Notamacropus eugenii: one gene and its partner. The protein of the gene in region 1 interacts with the protein of each later gene in a pairwise test. Links are inferred from orthologs where the notes say so. Each region holds a gene or a part of one and is shown in the gene's direction. Other genes may lie near its edges. The genes, in order: BMX and PTPN21.

The links.
Region 2: the proteins of BMX (region 1) and PTPN21 interact in binary tests that used the Homo sapiens proteins (3 or more experiments, as listed by UniProt). The link is inferred for Notamacropus eugenii from reciprocal best matches to the Homo sapiens genes BMX and PTPN21.

The regions. Positions count from the first base shown.
Region 1 is NC_092876.1:374,583,301-374,593,755, reverse strand, and holds the start of BMX (cytoplasmic tyrosine-protein kinase BMX), read left to right. Parts: upstream 1-6,354; 5' UTR 6,355-6,450; coding exon 6,451-6,483; intron 6,484-10,455. UniProt on the Homo sapiens protein: Non-receptor tyrosine kinase that plays central but diverse modulatory roles in various signaling processes involved in the regulation of actin reorganization, cell migration, cell proliferation and survival, cell adhesion, and apoptosis.
Region 2 is NC_092878.1:76,509,764-76,520,490, reverse strand, and holds the start of PTPN21 (tyrosine-protein phosphatase non-receptor type 21), read left to right. Parts: upstream 1-6,362; 5' UTR 6,363-6,936; intron 6,937-10,727.

The DNA.
Region 1 (10,455 bases):
GGAATTTTTAAAAAATCCATGTATCAGATTTCTCAGACAAGACTTTGGAATCCAAAACAAGCCTTTCTCCAAGATAAGTGGTCAAAGGATATGAGTAAATGGTTCTCAAAAGTACTGCAAACTATTAACAACTACATGAACTAATGATCCAAATCATTAACAATAAGAGAAATGAAAAATGAAAACAACCCTAAGGTTTCACTGGACTCTGCAAAGGGCAGAAATGACAGAAGATGAGCATACTCAGTGTTGGTAGGGTTGTAAGGAGACTGGCACATTAGGCAGCTAGAGGCAATAAATAGACCTCTGGACCAGGACTCAAGAAAAACTGAATTAAAACCCAGCCTCAGATACTTCCTACATATGTGATTCTGGGCAAGTTACTTTCCTCAACTATAAAATGGGAATAATAAAAGCACTCACCTTTCTGACATAATAAGTCCTGTTGGTGATGGGCTAGAGGTTCAGAATTGCGTATACATTTTTAGATAAGAGAAGTTTTTTTTTAATTAAAACAAATTGTTAAAAGATCTATTAGACAGTGGATGGATATTGGTAAATAATGATGTTAATGTGAAAAAAGGAGAAAAGAAACAAACATCAATAAAATATTTTTAAAATACAAAGAAGAGAATAGGAGGAAGTTCAGAAGGTGACAGACAAACAGAACAGTTTTGTTACTATAGAGTTAAATACATGTAAACATACAAATATATACACATGTGTGTATGTATATGTGTATGTATGCATGAATACATATGTATATGTAAGAGAAATTTGCAGCTTTCAGTCTTCTGTTCTTATTCATCAAAATACTGTTGTTGTATTTAGAATAAAAAATAAAACTTAACAACAGAAAAATTATTGGCCTTGGAAAAAGAATTGAAAAAACATACCTACCTCCCTTCTTTGTAGAGGTGGGGGACCATGGGTGTGGAATACTGAACATACTGTCAGGATTAGTGTGTTGGTTGGTTTTGCTGAACTGCTTTTTAAAAAAACTTTCTTTTTTGGTTTAATCTGCATTATTAATGCTTTTTCCTTTCCTGTCTTTTTTAAAGGGTTTTTTTTTATTAATTTACTTATTTTTAGTTTTTTAACATTCACTTCCACAAGATTTTGAGTTCCAAATTTTCTCCCCATCTCTCTCCTCCTCCCACCCCAAGATGGCATCCATTTTGATTACCCCTTCCCCCAAACTGCCCATCCCTTCTCTTATCCTCTTCCTCTCTATTTTCTTGTAGGGTAAGATAGATTTCTATATCCCACTGCCTGTATGTCTTATTTCCCAGTTTCATGTCAAAACAAATTTTAACATTCATTTTTAAAACTTTGAGTTCCATTTTCTCTCTTCCTCCCTCCCTACCCGCCTACAGTGAGAAGGCAGGCAATTTGATATAGATTATACATATGTAGTCTTGCAAAACACTTCTGTAATAGTCATGTTGTGAAAGACTAATTCCCTCCACCCTAACCCCTCTCCCCCATTTATTCTATTATCTCCTTTGACCCTGTCCCTCCTCAAAAGTGTTTGCTTCTGATTACCTCCTCCTCCCATTTGCTGTCCCTTCTATCATCCCTGCCCCCTTATTATCCTCTCCCCACCTATTTTCCTGTAGGGAAAGATAGATTTTTATACCCAATTCAGTGTGTGTGTTATTCCCTCCTTAAACCACATCTGATGAGAGTAAGGTTCACTCATTCCCTCTCACCTCTCCCCTCTTCTCCATTGTAAAAGCTTTCTCTGGCCTCTTTTATGTGAGATAATTTACCTCATTCTACCTCTCCCTTTCTCCTTCTCCCAATACATTCCTCTTTCACCCCTTATTTTTATTTTTTAGATATCATCCTTTCATATTCAACTCACCCTGTGCCCTCTGTCTATATGTATATAATCTCATTTCTCTTCCCAATTTTTCCTCTATTTCTCTTACTTGGTTTTCAAAATCCTTCTTGACCTCTTCCATCACCTGAGACCAATTCATATTTTTCTTGGAGGTTTTGGATGTAGGAGCTTTGAGTTTGTTGTGTTCTGGTTGTATGTTTTGATCTTCCTTGTCACCAAAGTAAAATTCTGTAGTCTGATTTTTTCCCTGCTCTTTGCTCATTTTCCCAGCAAATTACTTGACTTTTTTAGTTCTTTGTCAAGGTAGGACTCTACTTCCAATATTAGGGTGTACTCTCCCAAGCTTTAGGAGTTTTGTGCAGCTGTTTTCATAAACACTTCTAGGGACCTGTACATTTTCACCTCTTCCAAGGTGATATGATCAAAGGAGAGGTGTTTATTCCTCTCCTGGCCTGTTTTCTGGTCTGTGAGTGACCTCAAGCATTCTTTTCTGCCTTGGAACTGTGAGGAGGATTCTCTCTCCACTGCCACCACAAGCTCCACCATACAAGCACTTCTCCTCACCCCAGGACTGCCCCTCAGGACTATGACCCAGATCCAGGCATGGGCAAAGCAAGAGAATCCTGCCTCAGCACAAGCAAAGAGATTCCTGCAATTCTGCTCTGATCAGTTGCTCTATCCCCCCACCATCTGTGGGCCAAGAATTGTGGATGCAGCCATTGCTGCTGCTGCTGCAGACCACCACCACCTTGTGTGGTGGGCCAGATTGCATTCCTCTTTCTCCCAGCTCTGATAGATTTCTCCTACTGACTTTCTAAGTTGTCTTTGGTGTTTTTGGGTTGAGAAGTCTGGAAACTGCCACAGCTGCAAGTGATTCAGTGTCCTAAGCCCTGTTCTGGTCTTGTCTGGGTCGCATAGCTCATGCTAGACTGTATTCTTCTCTCAGATTGGTGCAACAGACCTTTCGTTTTGACCTTCCAGGTTGTCATGGACTGGAAATTTGTTTCTCTCTGTGATTTTATGGGTTCTGCTGCTCTGGAATTTATTTAGAGTCATTTTTACAGGTCTTTGGAGGAGTCTGGGGGAGAGCTCAAGCAAGTCCCTGCTTTTACTCCACCATCTTGACTCTACCCCCAAAATAGCTTTCTTCTTTATTCTTTGTGACAAGAGATGGTTTGCAAGGTAGAGTGTCAGAAACAATATATTTTGAAATAAAGATGAGGCAAAAATAAGTGGTATTAATAAAACACTAAAAAATAAAGATAACTTCAGTACAACACAATACAATATTGTAGTACAGTGGTTAGAGTGCCAGTACTGGCACCAGAAGTCTTGAGTTTGAATCTGGCCTCAGACATTGAGCTGTGTAACTGGGCAAGTCACTTAACCTCTGTCTACCTTAGTTTTCCCATCTGTAAAGCAAGAATCATAATTTATCTGCCTTGCAGGCTCGTTGCTAGGATCAAATGAGATAATAATTGCAAAATGTTTAGCACAGTGCCTGCCACAGAGTAAGTGCTATATAAAGGCTACCTGCTATTATTATTGTTGTTGTTAATAGATGGGTAAAATTCCTACTCATTCTTAAAGTCTTTTTTTTTTTCAGTTGTCTCTGACTCTTTGTGAACCTCATTTGGGTTTTCCTTGGCAAGGATACTTGAGTAATTTGTCATTTCCTTCTCCAGTTCATTTTCCAGATGAGGAACTGAGGCAAACAGGGTTAAGTGACTTGCCAGGGGTCACACTGCTAGTAAGTGTCTGAGGCCAGATTTGAACTCAGGAAGAGGAATTTTCCTAAATCTAGGTCCAGTGCCCTATACACTGTGCCACGTAGCTGCCTACTCTTTTTTTTTAAATTTAGTATTTTATTTTTCCCCAGTTACATGTAAAAACAATTTTTAACTTTTGTTATTAAAACAAATTATCTCCCTTCCTCCCTTGCCCCCCATTGAAAAGGCAAGTAGATCTAAGTTATACATGTGTAGTCATGCAAATCATACTCATAATAGTCATATTGTGAAAGAAAACATAGACAAAAAAACTCAAGAAAAATAAAGCTAAAAAAGTATTCTTCAGTCTGTATTCAGACATTATCAGTTCTTTATCTAGGGGTAGATAGCGTTCTTCATCCTAAGTCTTTCAGACATGTCTTGGATTGCTGGATTGCTGAGAATAGCTAAGCCACTCACAGTTGATCATTTCACAATATTGCTGTTACTTTGTACAGAGTACATTTCACTTTGTATCAGCCATTCCAGTCGTTCTAGGCTTTTTGGAGAGCATCTTACTCATCATGTCTTATAGTACAATAGTATTCCATCATAATCACATACCACAACTTGTTCAGCCATTCCCTAATTGACGGGTATCCCCTCAGGTTCTACTTCTTAGCTGCCCTACTCTTGAAAGACTGCTTCAAATGTCATTTCACTTATGAGAGCCTTACTGATCCTCTCTGAACAGTAATGACTCGCTTCCCCACAGCACTCCCCACCCAGTCAAAGACGTGACTTGGGTTTAGACCTATAAGGCACCGTAGAGATTGGTTAGTCTAAACCCCTGGTTTTACAACTGAGAACACAGAAGTTACATGACTTGCCCAAAGTCACACAGGTAGTAAGTAGCAATCCAGGATTCCACTGACTCCAAATCTGGGGCTCTTGCCACTATACCAATTATATATGATGTAATATTTGGTAAATACATATTTATAAATTTTACATATATATAAATTACATATATAGAGGAAAATATTACATATATAAAAATATTACATATATATTTACTAGAAAAGGTAATGCTGCTTACCATCTAGAAGGTAGATATGACGTATATATGTATATATATATACACACACACACATAAATGTATGCTATATAAATACGTTATAGAAACAAACATAAGCAATGTGTATATGCTGTATAAATAAATATAGATATATGTACGTGTATACATGTATGTAAGCACTTACACATGCATATTGTATATTATCCCACCACACATAAACATTTATATATATTATACGCATTTATATATTATATATACATGTATGTCATATCTGTGTTCTAGATGTTAAGCAGCAGCTTTGCCTTTTCTAAATTTTCTTTCTCCTCCAGCACCAAGCACAGTTTAGTGCTTGATATATTCGTGTGGATTCTAATTGAATCAAATTATCCCAAATATGGATTGGAATCTAGAGTTGAGTCAACAGTGACATTTGGAACTTTTGCCTCCCAATGTAGTTCTGAAGCTACACTCTAGACTTGTTGGAATGAAAAGGATTAAGTAACTAGCCATTTAAAATAGTGTTACAACATGTGCCAAATGAATGATTTCTTTCCTTGGCTGCTCCCCCCTGTGCCCAAAAGGTGTTATGAGTAGTATCAGTGTGAGTGTTTTTACTTACGTCACCAAAACATTAGATTCTAAGACAACTATAGGCTGCATGATAATTACAGTGGTGAGAGATCTGACTTCTAAGTGACAACAACCTGGCTTCAAGACCCATCTGTTACAGGCACTGACTATGTGATTCTGAGCAAGTAACTCAGAGCCGCAGACAACTCCCTAAGACTATAAGTTACAGAGACTGTTTAGTAGAGGAAGTTCCTACACTGATGACATTACAGCTCTAGTCAGAAAACAAACTCGAAAAGAAATTATAAGATGAGCAAAGAAAAGTTGTAACAATGACATGATTCCATGATAAGAATGGTATGGTTACATGTTCCCCCAACCATTCATGGATATGCCCTATAATGTTGGTATACAACAAAAAACTAGAGAAAGGTATGTCCCCAGTTGTATTACTCAGTGCTCCAAACTATAGAAATATATTCCTTATGTGGGCAGCTAAGTGGCATAGTGGATAGAGTGCTGAGCCTGGTCAGGAAGACTCATCTTTCTGAGTTCCAATCTGACCTCAGACACTTCCTGGCTGTATGACCCTGGGCAAGTCACTTAACCCTATTTGCCACAGTTTCTTCATCTGTAAAATGATATCAAAAAATATCAAACCATTCCAGTACCTTTGCCAAGAAAACCACAAATAGGGTTATGAAAAGTGGAACACCACTGAAAACAACTGAACTGAATAACAACAAATGTCTTTAATCTGTCTACTCTACTTTATCTGTCCAAGTCTTGAGTTAACACTTACTGCTTATTCTCTGAGCTCTTTGGTCTTACCTAACTGCTTCCTGACTTGTATGTCAATGTCAGAAAGGGAGTTTTTGCCTAGATATTTTATTGTTCTTTTCATAAAAATGCTACATAAACAAAGGCAAGGCTGTTGAACTTTATTCAGTCATTCTACTCCCTCCCCAAACAGCCCTGTTACCTCTCTAAATTTAAATCTTTATAAAATGTGCTTTTACTTCTATTTTTGTTGAGTTCAATCAAATCAGCAAGCATTGGCCAAGTGTTGAGTGTGGTTTCCTGTAGGATTGTGTAAAGTCCTGCAGAACAATATTCACTTGGGGTGACTGAGTAATGTGGTTATTTCAGGCCTCCCAGTCAAAGAAACATGAGGAAGCCAGCTGGGACACGACAAAGGTGATCACTGCTTGTTTTCTTTCAACAATTATTGGATTATTCTGATTGGAATGGATTCCAATAAAATGGAGCCATCAGAAATGGTATGTAGCAGAGGTTGGTGGCAATGAAGTGTCTTTTATACAGGAACTTGGTAGAGTTCAAATTCTGGCTCAAGAGAGAGGTCAGCTGATGCTTGTACTGGCCTGAATTAAGTTTAGTGATAAATAAGTTTGGGATTTGCATTCTCTTTTCTGTTTTGTTCTGCTGGTTGTTTTTATTTTCTTTCTCAAACATACACCTTCTAACAGCTTCTGAAAGAAAAATGTCTCCTTATTTTCCCAGTGCTTTTTGTTAGATTGCTAACTTCTATAAATTGGTGAGTGTTTTCTTTTCTTTTTTTTAATACTGACTTTCTCTGTATGTGTGTGGTTTGTTATTTGATTTGTTTAGGGATTTTTTTTCCTAACGTTTGTTTTTAGTGGGGAGGAGAAAGAGAAAGAGGACAGTGGTTATGAAAATGAACCAGTCACGTGGCACGGTACAGAGGAAAATCATTGACTCTGAAATCAGGAAAATTGGTTCTGAATCATTCCTTGGAATTTCTTTCCCTTCCAGGCCTCTGTTTAAAATTGGGGAACTTAAAGTTCTCCAATATTACTTACCCATTTATAGAATTTATGAAGCGAAAGCAGCTCTGTGACCAAATAGATATTGTTTTTTCCTCATTGGATGTCTCTAACTAGTGATAAAAATATTGCGTTCTTAAAGCATTGGCTTAGCTATGACTTGACTGTTCAAGAGGCTTTAGTGGTTCCTCACTGCCAACAAGAGCAAATACATGCTACCGTATTTGACATTTAAATCCCTTCAAATCTGATATTCCTAGGAAGTACAAGGAATTAAATTAAAGAAGGGATTTTCATGTTGTTGTGTGTAAACTTTGTAACATAAAATAAAACATGTAGGATAGCAAAACCAATTACATAACTGATTTCAGTCAGCAAAAGATTTATATTTTTAAAAACAAAATGGCAGACCCCAGGTGAAGAACCTTTGAAATTAAAGGCATTCATCCTGAGGTATTAAGTGGATCACCATCTTCTACTTTTCTCCTTGACAAGGAAGACCAAAAGTAAAATCCCTTGATATTTGGGGGGGAAGAAAAGGGAGCAGGAGAGGACAGTGGTTTTAAAAGAAGGAAAAGTCTCAAAAGGGGAAGTAAAGTTGCTGAACAGGAACTTCAAGTACATCCCAATTTTGCCCAGGCCCACTCTAATTACTATAAGAAAGGAATTGGGTTTTGCCTTTTATATAAGAAAACAGATCTCCAAAGTAGTTGGTTCTCTAATAATAATAGCTAGAATTTGTATAATTCTTTAAGGTTTGCAAAGCCTTATTCATACACTGGATTTTCACCACCTATCTATCAGATTTATCCATCTGATTTATCTATCTTTTATCTCTCTGATCTATCTGTCCATCTGATTTTATCCTTGTAACAATCATGTGAAGGTCATCTCCATTTTTCAGCTGAGGAAACTGAGGCAAACAAGTGATGTGTCCAGGGTCACACAGCTATTAGATATCTAAGTTTGAATTTGAGCTCAGGGCTTCCTGACTCCAAGTCTAGCCCTCTTACCCCTTGTACCACCTACCTACCTCAATAAGTTGATAAGCAGAGAGTTAATTCGGGGCCAGTTGTATCAAGTAGCAGGAGGTTGGGCTGAAAAGTTAATATCTGTCAATATCTCATTTTCTTACTCCCAGTGCCTCTGTGATCTCATCTATGGGGGTGCTTCCCACATCAGAGTGCATTCACATCTGTTCCTCCTATCCCCTTCTTGTACTTAGTCTCCTATGGATTCTACAGAATATATTCTGCCACCAAGCTGGAAGACTTGTTTTATCTAATGGTTTCTGGGTACCAGTTCAGTACTAGGACTGCCTATCTGTTGTCCTTTCTGATTGCTGCTGACTTTTTCAGTTTTATGCTTTACAAATGATGATTCTTGGACCATTTCTTATGGATAGGTTATTTCAGGAAATCGGTCTTTGACTACGTATGTTCCCCTGAACCCTCCCCCACAATGGTCTGAATCTTCCTTTGTGTCACCTGCATTGATGGGGTGAGGAGGGGGGTAGAGGAAACACCACATGTTTTCCTCAAGGCTGTCCAGTTACCTTTCTTTTTTTAAATTTTATTTTAGACTCAAATACCAGAACAAAAATATAGAATAGAGAAAAGAAACAAAAATATATCATAAACTTAAATATTGGAACTTAAACACAAAGTAAGAAAGGAGAGGAAAAACATGTCATCTACATAGCAGCACATAAGAGAGGATTCAAAATATGTGACAGTAATGCTTCCATTTATTCAATTCTGGCACCAGGCTATTGTCCATCTGCCGCACATTACATAAACACTTCTGTTATCTACATCTTTAGTACAATGTAGGCATTATGTCATTATCATGCCGAGCACAATTGTCGCTTTTCTCTCTAGTACCTGATAGCATCCAATAATAGAATGCAGTTAGGGAGGAAAAACATTAAGAATGCTTGCGACAGCTTCTTTGTAAAAAATAATAATAGTGTTTATTTATAGAATGCTTTAAGGTTTGCAAAGCACTTTACAATGATTATCTTATTTGATCCTTACAACCCTGAGAGGTGGGTGCTATTATTATCCCTATTTAAGAGGAATCTGAGGCGCATAGATTTCAGCTAGTAGGTGTCTGAGGTTATATTTGAATTCAGAACTTCTTCCTTACCGACGTGTTGTCTTCACTGAGTGGTCTGAAAGACAAGTATAATTTAGAGGAGAGGAGCTCTGAATTTAGAACAAAAGCCATAGCTAGCTATGGCTTTGCACCAGGGTGTTGAATTTAAAGGGTCCTGACATTCCTTGCATGCCTTCAGAAGCTAGAAAAACTGAAGTTAGCACCAACTTACCAAGAATAATTAATTAATATAGGAAACTGCTTCCTCGTGTGAACCCCAGATACTGTCCACCTTGGCTCAGACCTTCCTTGCTCTCCCCATCCTGCTTTCCCTGAGATCCCACAATATGTTCCTCATTTTCCTCAATCGTAAATTGAGGGGGTTTGAACAATGATACCATCCCATTCAAAAACCCTATTGAATATTTTTTTTTTTTTTGTAATTTTGTTTTGAGAGGCAGAGCGGATAAGGAATCAGCAAGATCCAAGTTCAAAGCTGGCGTTAGACACTTACTATCTGTGTGACCCTGGTCAAGTCACTTCACTTCTGTTGGCTTCAGTTTCCTCATCTGTGAAATGGGGATAATAATAGTAACTACCTCCCAGGGTTGTTTGTGAGAATCAAATGAATTAATTGTAAAATGCTTAGTGCAGTATCTGGCACACAGTAAGCTCATGTAAATAGCTATTTTCTCCTTTTTCCTTCCCCTTGTTTTGTTTGAATTCTCTATTTTATTTTTGTTCAGTCTTTTAGTCGTAAAATAGTAAGAAGAAATGGCCCATGGCAGAATTCTGAAGGAGGTAGATGTTGTGTTGTAGTGACCTCTACTTCCCATTTCAGTATTCTTTGCCCCACTTGCAGTATCTTCTGCCTTTCCTGGTTACAATAATGATCAGTGCTCAAAAGGCCTTTTTGTTCTTTTTTACCTTTTCTCTATTAAAACCTACTCTTAACCAACAGCCTCATTTTAAATGTGTAAATGACAGTTAATAGTTTAAAGAGTTATTCCTCTTAGGGATGTATGGATTTTAATCATTGAACAACTGCATGATTTTTCAGGCAAGAGTGCAGGAAGGCTACTAGGAGGAACTATTATATTATATTAGGGCTATAATAGGACTATTCTGCAACAGGCTACTCCTAGACATGAGCTATCTTTAGCTTTGTTTTCTCTGTCTTTCTTGGAGGATATGCTCTGCTTTAGGAGCAGAATTATTATTTGTTTGTAAAGTTAATCCTGGATTCATGTGTGATGCTGTCTTTAGGAATCCAGATGTGGGTAAGAAGGTCTTTGGGGGGTGATTCCATTAGGAAGGGAAGCAGAAGGGGAATATAAAGAACCTATTATG
Region 2 (10,727 bases), on another chromosome or scaffold:
GATCCAAAAAGAGAAACTCCTAGGAACATTGTGGCCAAATTCCAGAGTTCCCTGGTCAAGGAGAAAATATTGCAAGCAGCTAGAAAGAAACAATTCAAGTATTGTGGAAATACAATCAGGATAACACAAGATCTAGCAGCTTCTACATTAAGGGATCAAAGGGCAGGGAATATCATATTCCAGAAGTCAAAGGAACTAGGACTAAAACCAAGAATCACCTACACAGCAAAACTGACTATAATACTTCAGGGGAAAAAATGGTCTTTCAATGAAACAGAGGACTTTCAAGCATTCTTGATGAAAAGACCAGAGTTGAAAAGAAAATTTGACTTTCAAACACAAGAATGAAGAGAAGCATGAAAAGGTAACAGCAAAGAGAAGTCATAAGGGACTTACTAAAGTTGAACTGATTACATTCCTATATGGAAAGACAATATTTGTAACTCTTGAAACTTTTCAGTATCTGGGTACTGGGTGGGATTATACACACACACACACACACACACACACACACACACACGCACACACACACACACAGAGACAGAGAGCACAGAGTGAATTGAACAGGATGGGATCATATCTTAAAAAAATGAAATTAAGGGGTGAGAGAGAAATATATTGGGAGGAGAAAGGGAGAAATGGAATGGGGCAAATTATCTCTCATAAAAGAGGTAAGCAAAAGACTTTTTAGTGGAGGGAAAAAGAGGGAAGGTGAGAGAAAAACATGAAGTTTACTCTCATCACATTCGACTAAAGGAAGGAATAAAATGCACACTCATTTTGGTATGAAAACCTATGTTACAATACAGGAAAGTGGGGGTGAAGGGGACAAGCAGGGTGGGGGGGATGATGGAAGGGAGGGCAGTGGGAGGAGGGAGCAATTTGAAGTCAACACTTGGGGAGGGACAGGATCCAAAGAGAGAATAGAAGCAATGGGGGGCAGGATAGGATGGAGGGAAATATAGTTGGTCTTACGCAACATGACTATTATGGAAGTCATTTGCAAAACTACACAGATATGGCCTATATTGAATTGCTTGCCTTCCCAAACGGAATGGATGGGGAGGGAGGGATGAAGAGAAGTTGGAACTCAACGTTTTAGGAACAACTGTCAAGTACTGTTCTTGCTACCAGGAAATAAGAAATACAGGTAATGGGGTACAGAAAGTTATCTGGCCCTACAGGACAAAAAAGAAGATGGGGACAAGGGAAGGGAGGGATGATAGAAGAGATGGCAGATTGGTGATAGGGGCAATTAGAATGCTCAGTGTTTTGGGGTGGGGAGGGGACAAATGGGGAGAAAATTTGGAACCCAAAATTTTGTGAAAATGAATGTTAAAAGTTAAATAAATAAATTTTTTTAAAAAAGAGAAGAATATTTACCAAAGATAGGAATTGGGGACATCTCTGCTTGATTCACCTGAACCAATTTCCCTATCCCAAGTTACCCACTGAGATCCACCGGTCAAGTGTCAGAGAATCCCTAGAGTTCCTCATGGCTGCTTTGTACTTAGGTCAACAGTTGGAGCCTTTAGTACCTTGAGCAAACCAACTCTTGAGGAAAGCTATTAAAAAGAAAAAGCTATTAAAGAAAAGTATTAACTTTTAAGGGAAAATGAATCTAACCTTCATGGAAGAGGGGTGAGAATATTGTTCCTATTACAACTCTGTTGTCAAGTACATATTAGGGGCATAGACCTACACAGTACACTAGGATATGCACCTAAGGAACTTATTTTAATAATTGTTTTTATGAATATTTGGTCATAAAGGATATTATTTTTACTCATCAACGAAAAAAACCCCCCAAACCTAACAACTTTTAAAAAAATTCAACAATCAACTTTCTTTTAGAAATACACATTTTAAAAACGAAACAAAATTCCACCTTTTTTTTGGGCTGGGCACATCTGTCATAAGATTACAAGAGTTACAAGGGTATTTATGACCATAATTAGGATCACAAGATTTAGAGATACAGGAGTAAAGATCCATTATTATATAGTTGAGGAAACTGAGGCACAGATGAGTTAGGCAACCTGCTCAAGATTACTCAGGTTGTAAATAACAGAACCAGGTTTTCTGACTCCAAATCAGGTGCTCTTTCAACTAGATCATGTTGTTTTTCATTTACCTTTTCAATCATCTTTGTTATGACTGAGTTATTAAAAGGACTGGGAGGATCTTTTGTTATTATCTAATTTAACTTCTCTTATTTTGGAGCTAGGGTACCTGAGTTTCATGGACATTAAATAACTTCCCCACAATCACAAAGACATTTAATTGTAAAGAGGAACTCAAACTCCTATCTCTTGACTCCTGGGCTTGTGTGCTGACTATAGATACAAATGAAATAAGCACTTAAGCAGCTTACAATCTAACTTGGCAGACAAAAATAGTATAAATTAGAGAACAATTAAATGTGAAACTATGTTGTATTGGAGGTAACTAGATGACATAGTGAATAGAGGAGTGTCCAGCCTGGAGTCAAAAAGACTCATCTTCTTGAATTCAAATCCGGCTTCAGACATTTACTAGCTATGTGACCATGGGCAAGTCACTTAACCCTGTTTGCCTCAGTTTCCTCATCTGTAAAATGAGCTAGAGAAGGAAATGGCAAAACACTTCAGTAGCTTTGCCAACAAAGCCCCAAAATAGGAACATGAAGAGTCAGACATGACTGAAATGACTGACCAAAATGTTATATTGACTTTAGATTCAAGGAAAGCCAGACCTTGAAGAGTAGGATTTGTGAAAATGGAAGGAATACAGTCTGGTACAGCTGGAAAAGTGTTCAACTCAGATTCAAGACACTTGAGGTTTCCATCCAGGTTAGTACATTTACTAACTGAGTGAACATAGGAAAATGTTATAATCTCTCAGATAATCAATTTCCTTATCTACAAAAAGGTCAATAATATTTGTACAACCTCCCTTGTAGGTTAAGAATTTTAGTGTACTACGTACGTAGCCCATACATATAAGTTCTGAGAAATCTCATTCCAAATCCTACTCTCTCAGAGTACTTGTGCTCCCCAAGCTATTAGGCTATAGACACACATACAGACACAGACATGCATACATATAATATGTGTGTGTGCATGTGTATATATATATATATATATGTATATATATATATATATATATATATATATATATATATATATATATATATATATATATATATATATATATATATATATATATATATATATATATATATATATATACTTCTCCCTTTCGAGTTTCTAGGGTGTTCTCCTGGAAGACTGAAGGCATTTTTTCTAATGTTATTAGCTCAATCCCCCACTCCTCATTCCATTATAAATTGCCAGTCATTAACACCACAGTTTCCACATCAATAGGTTTCTAAGTGACAATTATTTTGCAGATATAGCAAGAACAGAAGTACAAACATCTACCCCTTCCAACTTTTAGTGGGAGTCACACCTTTTGTCTCTGAGGGGAATGACTCAGACAGTGCAGTGTTTTTTCCAGTAAGTTTTATTTTTTTTAACCTGTCAACAAGTGTTTTTATATACATTTTATTTCCCTCCAATTTTAACATTTTAAAAAAGTTTTGAGTTACAATTTCTATCCCTTCCTTCCTGCTCCCTGAGATAGTAAGTAATCCAATATAGTTAATATGTGTGTAATCATGCAAAATGACCATACAGTGGTTTTTTAATAGTGTAGGTCCCACCAAATTTATATCCCAATACAGCATTAATACTGGCTGTCTTTGTTTTAGCTTGTACTGGACTAATTCCTAAAGATTGTTCCTTTACCCATTCAGGGGAGCTTTGGTCTTGAACTGTCTAGAATCTAGACTCCAGATGCATCATATGCTCCATTCTAGGACCTCCTTTCTAGTGGCTCACTCTTCAGATTTTTTGAAGCTCATTAGGTAGTAGCTATGTCTAGTCTCCTTAATTGAGAAGCAGAAAAATAAATACAAAGGCAAAGAGCTGAAGCCCATACTCACAGCACACTTAGTCTTAGATGTGCAGGGCCTCAGACCTTTCCCTTTACAACACTACTGTCTTCTCTCACCTGAATATAGCCATGTAGCAAAGAGTCAGACCAAAAACGACTGACTGGTAGACTATTACCTATTGAAGGTCCCCACCCCACTTCTGGCTACACAGCAATCAAAATCTTTCTCTTCAACATGTGGTTACCAGACCAGAACCAATTACAAAATATTTGCACATGTTCCAATTTAGGAGCAAGGCATTTCCATTATGCATCATGTTGTTTCTCCAAAAGCAGAGTTCCCAGTTTCTTCCACTTTTGGAATGCATCAGTTACGTACGCAAATGATTGCTTCAGAAGTCCTCCATGACATATCTGTGTGAATAATTTTAGGTAGAGAAAGCAAAGTGAGCAAACACAAAAAAGTGTAACTAAAACTTGTATATTACAAGAGACCTGGAGAGACCTTTTACTGGAGCAAAAAGTATATTGGGAGAAATGGATCATAGATTTAGAATTGGAAGCAGCACAGTCTTCAGGATGTAAATGACTGAGGTCTGGAGCAGTTGTGTTTTATCCCTTGGTCATACAGAGTTACAGTCTGAACTCAAGCCCTCTGGCTCCAAATTTAGTAATGTATCTTCTGTACCACACCAAGCAGTAGAAATAAGATTGAATAGGTAGATTTCGGCCGGATTACAGAGGGTCCCAAAAGTCAGGTAAGAGAGAGGGAATCTGTTATAGCAAGGATCTTTAGATTTCAGGAAATCTAATGAAGTTCTATTGGGGAAAAAAGTATCTTTATTTCAACAGAATTTGCTTTCTTCATAATCCTGAATATTTTATTTTACATCCTTAAAAACATTATTCTGAGAAGGCATGAAGAGGTTTCAAATTGCCAAAGCAATGAGTTATAGGTTCTTTAATAATGAAAGAAAGAAAGAAATGAAAAAGCATTTATTAGGGCTTATTTTGCTCAGGGCAAGGTGTTGAAACCTTGAGATACAAATACAAACAGAAAGAGTGCCTGTCCTTAAGGATTTTACATTCTGATAACGGAAGACTATATACATATAGCCTAACTGTAGTTAGGGAAAGAGGTGTTTGGGATTGAGAAGTCACTTAGATGTTAAATAGAGCTATAGGGCAATTGATTGACTTGAACTTTCCAGGAATGGTAGTAGTGATCTGATGTCTCCCGAGGGAACAAGGGAGCAAAGGAGTGACATTATGAAAACAATATTTTAGGAAGATTACCTAGCCACCAATATGCAGCATTGACTTGGGGGGAGGAAGGAACAGAGAGGGGAACTGAAGGAAGGGAAATTAGCTTGGAGATTTGCAATAATTCAGTAAACATAATGCAATTGTGATGATGTTAAGGATCTTGGAGTGGATACAGAGAAGGTGGAATTTAAAACAAATAAATAAACAACAAATCAAAAGAAGAGATGTCAGGGTATGAAAACTGATTAGATATAGGGGAAAAGAAGGAAGAATGAAAGATAATTATGATGACAATGATGATATTTAATATTTATACAGTACTTTAAGTTTGAAAAGCACTTTCTGGCTTCAAAGTCATATGGAAGAGACCTCCATAGGACTCTTCTTCCAAACATACAAATTAACCTTGATGTCCCCTGGAAAGAATGAGTTTACTCAATTTAGGCTAACTTTCCTTTATAAAACCATGCTGTGATTAAAAAAAAGTTTTTTCTGAACTGATAGAGATTTAAAAATAACTTAAGTCAAAATTAGCTTACATTAAACTATTAATTCTCTCATTTTCCAGAACCATTCTCTCTTTGTTTTAAAAAGCAGAGATGGAAGATTATCGTGATAGTCTGTTATACAAATAATTGAGTTTTCTTTCAATAGACTCTATATGCATATATTATATGAAATATTTTCTTTAAATAAGTATTACAAAATTCTCGAATTGGAGAATGTCTTTTTTGGGCAGTCATATCTGGTAGTCCTGAGAGCGTAAAAAAAGAAAGTAACTTAGTATCCGATTTCAGGAGAGTCATAGCTTTCTCAAGAAGTAATTATAAAAGTAGCCATATAGAAAAATAAGTAGCAAATTATTACAGCAAATTGGTGATAGCATTTTACACAGTCCAAAAGATCTAACTATTTGCCACAGAAATAATATCCCCATTGTATTTTATAAAAAGTCCTGCTTCATTTGGGAAGCCTTAAAATAAGTGGTCATATGATTAAAAAAGGAAACGATTCGTTGTAACCCCCTATTTCTGTAATGCCCCCACAGCAGGCGCGGCAGCTGTCCCGCCGCTGACATTCCCCGGCCCTGACATTCCAACTCTCTGAGGTCATGGACTGCAAGCATACGGGCTCTTCGCTCCCTCTCTCCGTATCCGTCCGCGTGGATGGAACAAGTAACGCCTCCCAGGGCACTTGCACCTTCACTACCCAGCGAGAGTCCGATCGGATAGGAGCAAAGAAAAGGAGCCTCAAGATCCTACAACTTCGTTTCTCCTCCACAAGAGACCCCCTTCTGTCCTGCTTGGAGCCGGGAGATGATTGCCAAGTTCACCGACCGGGGTGCCTTTGTGTAGCCCTGCTCGCGGACCCCGGCTCTCGCACAAGCCCGGCTCCCTCCGATCACTCGCCCGCAGGAGCTCCCCCCACCCCCCTCTCGATCGCTCGCCTGCAGGAGCTCCCTCGAGCGCTCGGTGGCCGCCCGCCCTCCTGCGAGTCCTTACCTAGTGGAATGATACACAGACCAAGTTTTCTGAGACAGGAAGTGAGGAATGTTTTCAGTATGACTGAGTTGGAGGGGAGCCTGGCATGCCCTTCTCGACCCAGGGGACGCACTGAGACCCTTGTGAAGGAAGACCGGTGAGAGATGTCTTCCAGGGGAGAACCCGAACTGTTTGCGTTTTGTAGCTGAGGATGCGTGACCTCAGAACCTCTTCAGCTGGATCACTGCAACAGGTAAGTAAGTAAGTAAGTAAGTAATGGACAAGAGGAGACCACAGGAGCCTCCCCGGGCTCTTTTTGTTTGATACAGTTTCCTCTCAGTTCCTGAGAGGCAGACTGTGTAACTTAGTGGCATTTTCTCTCGTGAGTAGGTTTCTTCTGTGTACATTTTATTAGTCCTGGAAATCGCTATTCTCGAAGAGATAACGTTTCACTAAGAAATTCTTCGTTTTCATGCTCCACTCCACTGACTTGTCTATTAAATTTTATGAAGAGAGCACTTTCGCTTGTATTTTGATTCAGTTTATCTTTTTAGGGTCTAATTCCAAACCAGGTAGTTAATTCTGGCTACATTTCAGTCTGCTAAAATGGTGCATACTTGTTGAGTTTGGCAAATAAAAACTTTCAGTAGGGGAGAGAGAGGAGGAGGAGTTTTTGTTTTATTTTGCTTAAGGGGAGTGTGGTTACTGTGGGGAGAGAAATTCCTAGGTTTGCTAAATTCAGACTTGTGATTTCGGCGGATACTGATTAGATACTTTTGGCATGCTGGTTCCATTTTCTTTTTGCTGATAACGCCTTATAATAGTGCATGTGTGCGTGTGTGTGCACATTTAAAAAAAATTCCATGTGATCAAAATGACACCGGCTGTTAGCCTAACACTAAATGACAGCTGCTAGATTAAAAAAAAAACAGCTTTTAATTTCGGATATAACAGTTGTATTTGGACAACAGTAAACATAGTGCAAGCAAGGAAATTTATTCTGAAGTTTTTGCATTTGCTTGTATGGATATTTTTGTCTTATAGGAAACAGGTTACAGTTCAAAGCAGTGGAGTTAATAAATGTTGTTGCCTTCTTACTGATAGATAACACTTTAATTGCTGCTTATTTTCAGGTACTTATTGCAAATTTTAAATGAGATGAAGCCTTAATAAGGAAAAGCTTCACAAAATAAACAGTTATATTTCAAGAAACTTTGTGATTGTTGGGAATAATCAAAGAACTAAAATATCCTCCTTACAGAAGCAGATCTACCTGGGCTTAAGAGTTTCTATGAAATGAAACGTTTATTACTTTTTCTATGCATTTTGTCTTCTTTAATGCTCAAACCTTTCAGTTTTAAAATTTTAGTGTAGAAATAAGTAAGTATCCATTATAGATATCACCTGTGAATCATCCCAAAGCAACTGTCTGTAAATAATATGAAAACTTTGGTCAACAGAGTGTTTAACTAGATCAACAAATATCATGAGTCTTTTAAAAATTTACTTATGGCATATTGAGAAAAACATCTCAAGTTATTCCTAAAATAGACAAAAGTTGCTCTCAGAGTCTACTCAACTTGGTTTTATTAGAGTCCTTAACCATATAAAGTTTCTTAAACCCTATGTACAATATGCATTACAAAACAAGGACATAAGCTTTGGGTTAAGTAGAGCATCATTTTTAAAACAGAGTCTGTTCTTTTCTTATAAAAGATTTCCTCCCAGCAAACACTCTCCTCATTCCCCCCCCATCCCTAAGACACTTTTAACAGTGGTTAGCTCTGAGGGGAAATTATACCTAGTTTAAGAAAATATTGTTTTCATGCTAAAAAAATACAATAGATGAAAAATATTTATTTTTATTATTAGTGAGGTTGTAAAAAAAAACTCTTCAAACTTTTGAGTGTCTCCTCCTCCTACTCCCCCCCCCCATTTTTGCTCCATTTACTTAATCTGATGCTAAAGTTAATAATTAAGTTATATAGTATAGTATCTGTTGCCTTCAAGGCTTAGTCATTTGTTTCTTTGAAGTGAAAAGAGCACAATATCTGGAACATCCCAGAATACAAATATTTGTATTCCCTCTTCATATAGACAAATGTCTTGTTTTTCATCTTTTGCTACTACTTGTCCCAGTCTATTTGTTTTTTAAGGACTGTTCCATAGTTTTCATATTGAAATTTAAATTTATTACTTAATGATATCATGGAAACTTTTTTGAGAAAATTATAACCAGACATTTAACAAAAATACTGAGTAAGACCTTGTAAAAGATTTTTGCTGTAGATTGACAATCTCCATCCTTTCAATAGCTCTTACCTTTATAGCTGTATGATAGGCTATTTCTCTCCAACTTCTTATCAAAGAAGCTGGCATCTGCCTCCTCCCCCTCCCCAAAGTTTACATAGCATTACTATCTAAGCACTTTAAAGTATTAGAAACCTATATTTTTATGGTTTATAAGTATACTTGTCTTTAGTTATCATGAGACTTACACATCTGCATAGACCTTAGCATTGGTTTTCCTGGTAGTTTTCAAGTTACAAGTTTATTGTTACCTATATAGCTTCACTGGTCAGTAGTGGGGAAAATATATGCTTAAGAACTAATATTACTTTGGTCCATTTCTCTTACCTAGTAGGTTAAGCTGTATTGTAAACCTCTCCAAGGTGGGGTCCATACTTTCTATCATATTTTTAAAATTTCCTCACTTGTATGGTGCCTTTTACTTGGTCTTCCTTAATTATTGCAAAGATTTGGTAATCGGTGGGAACCTGTGCCATTTTCCTCTTTGCCTTCCTTTTCTTTCATCCTCTTAGTTTCCTCACCTCCACCCCCACTCCTCCTTTTTGGACCAGTTCAAGGATAGAGGTTCTGGATCTCTTGTTCTGAGGGATGGTGTAGACTCTACTCTCTACTAGAGTATACATTCCAAATCACATGAAAGTCTTGGTGTCCACTGGTTGTGTCCTTAATTAAATAAATCTATAGTTATTTAACCACAATGTTTAAACAGTTAACCATCCATTGAGGGATGTAGTACAAGTATAGCATTAGTACCATTTTCAATTAGAGGAAACAAATACCTAGGGGGGAAAGTGATTTACCCAAGGTCTTGTATCAGTAGGATACCAGATTGGGTTACCTCCCCAAGGATTCTTAGTTGACAATTATATTGCCCTTTAATGTTTACAAAATCCTTTACGTATATTAAGTCATTTGATCAAGACAAGACTTTTCTGCCCTCTCCCTCTTTCCTTCTCTCTTCACCCCATCCATAACCTAATAATAATCATCTATATATAATGTTTCAGGGTTCATAAAGAAAGGACTTTACATAAATTCTCCTTTGATTCGTACACCAATTGCATCTCTCCACACTAGGCATTCATTTTGGGTATTCTCAATGTCAAGAATGTTCTTCCTCCTCCACTTTGACTACTGACCTCCTTGGTTTCCTTTAAATCCCAACTAAAATCCCATCTTTTACAGGAAGCCTTTCCCAACCCCTCCTTAATTCTGGTGCCTTAACCTCTGTTAAGTATTTCCTATTTATCTTTTATGTAGCTTTCTTTGTATATACTTTCTTGTTTGTTTCTTTACCATTCGATTGTAAGATCTTTGAAGGTAGGGACTGTCTTTTGTCTCTTTTTGTATCCTCAGCGCTTAGCACAGTGTCTGGCACGTAGCAGGCGCTTAATGAATGTTTATTGAATTGAACTCAACCAAATTTGTGAGGTAGGTGCTGCAGTTATAACCAGTTTTACACATGAGGAAACCGAGACTGAGCTAGCAAGCATTTAAGTCAGGATTCGAATAAGGTCTAGCTAGACCACCCAGCTACTTCAGCCTAGGTATCTGAGACCCTAAATAACCTACGTCTGGCCCGGCATTCACCGTCTCTACCGAGGTTACTTGCCTTAGTATGGGGAGGAAAGTAGAACCAGGGGGCTGGAGGTACAGGACCCTCCCCCGCCCCCAATTTTGAGTGACAATTCTAAATTGATTTTTAAAAAAGTCATACAGTTTGTGGAAGAGCCC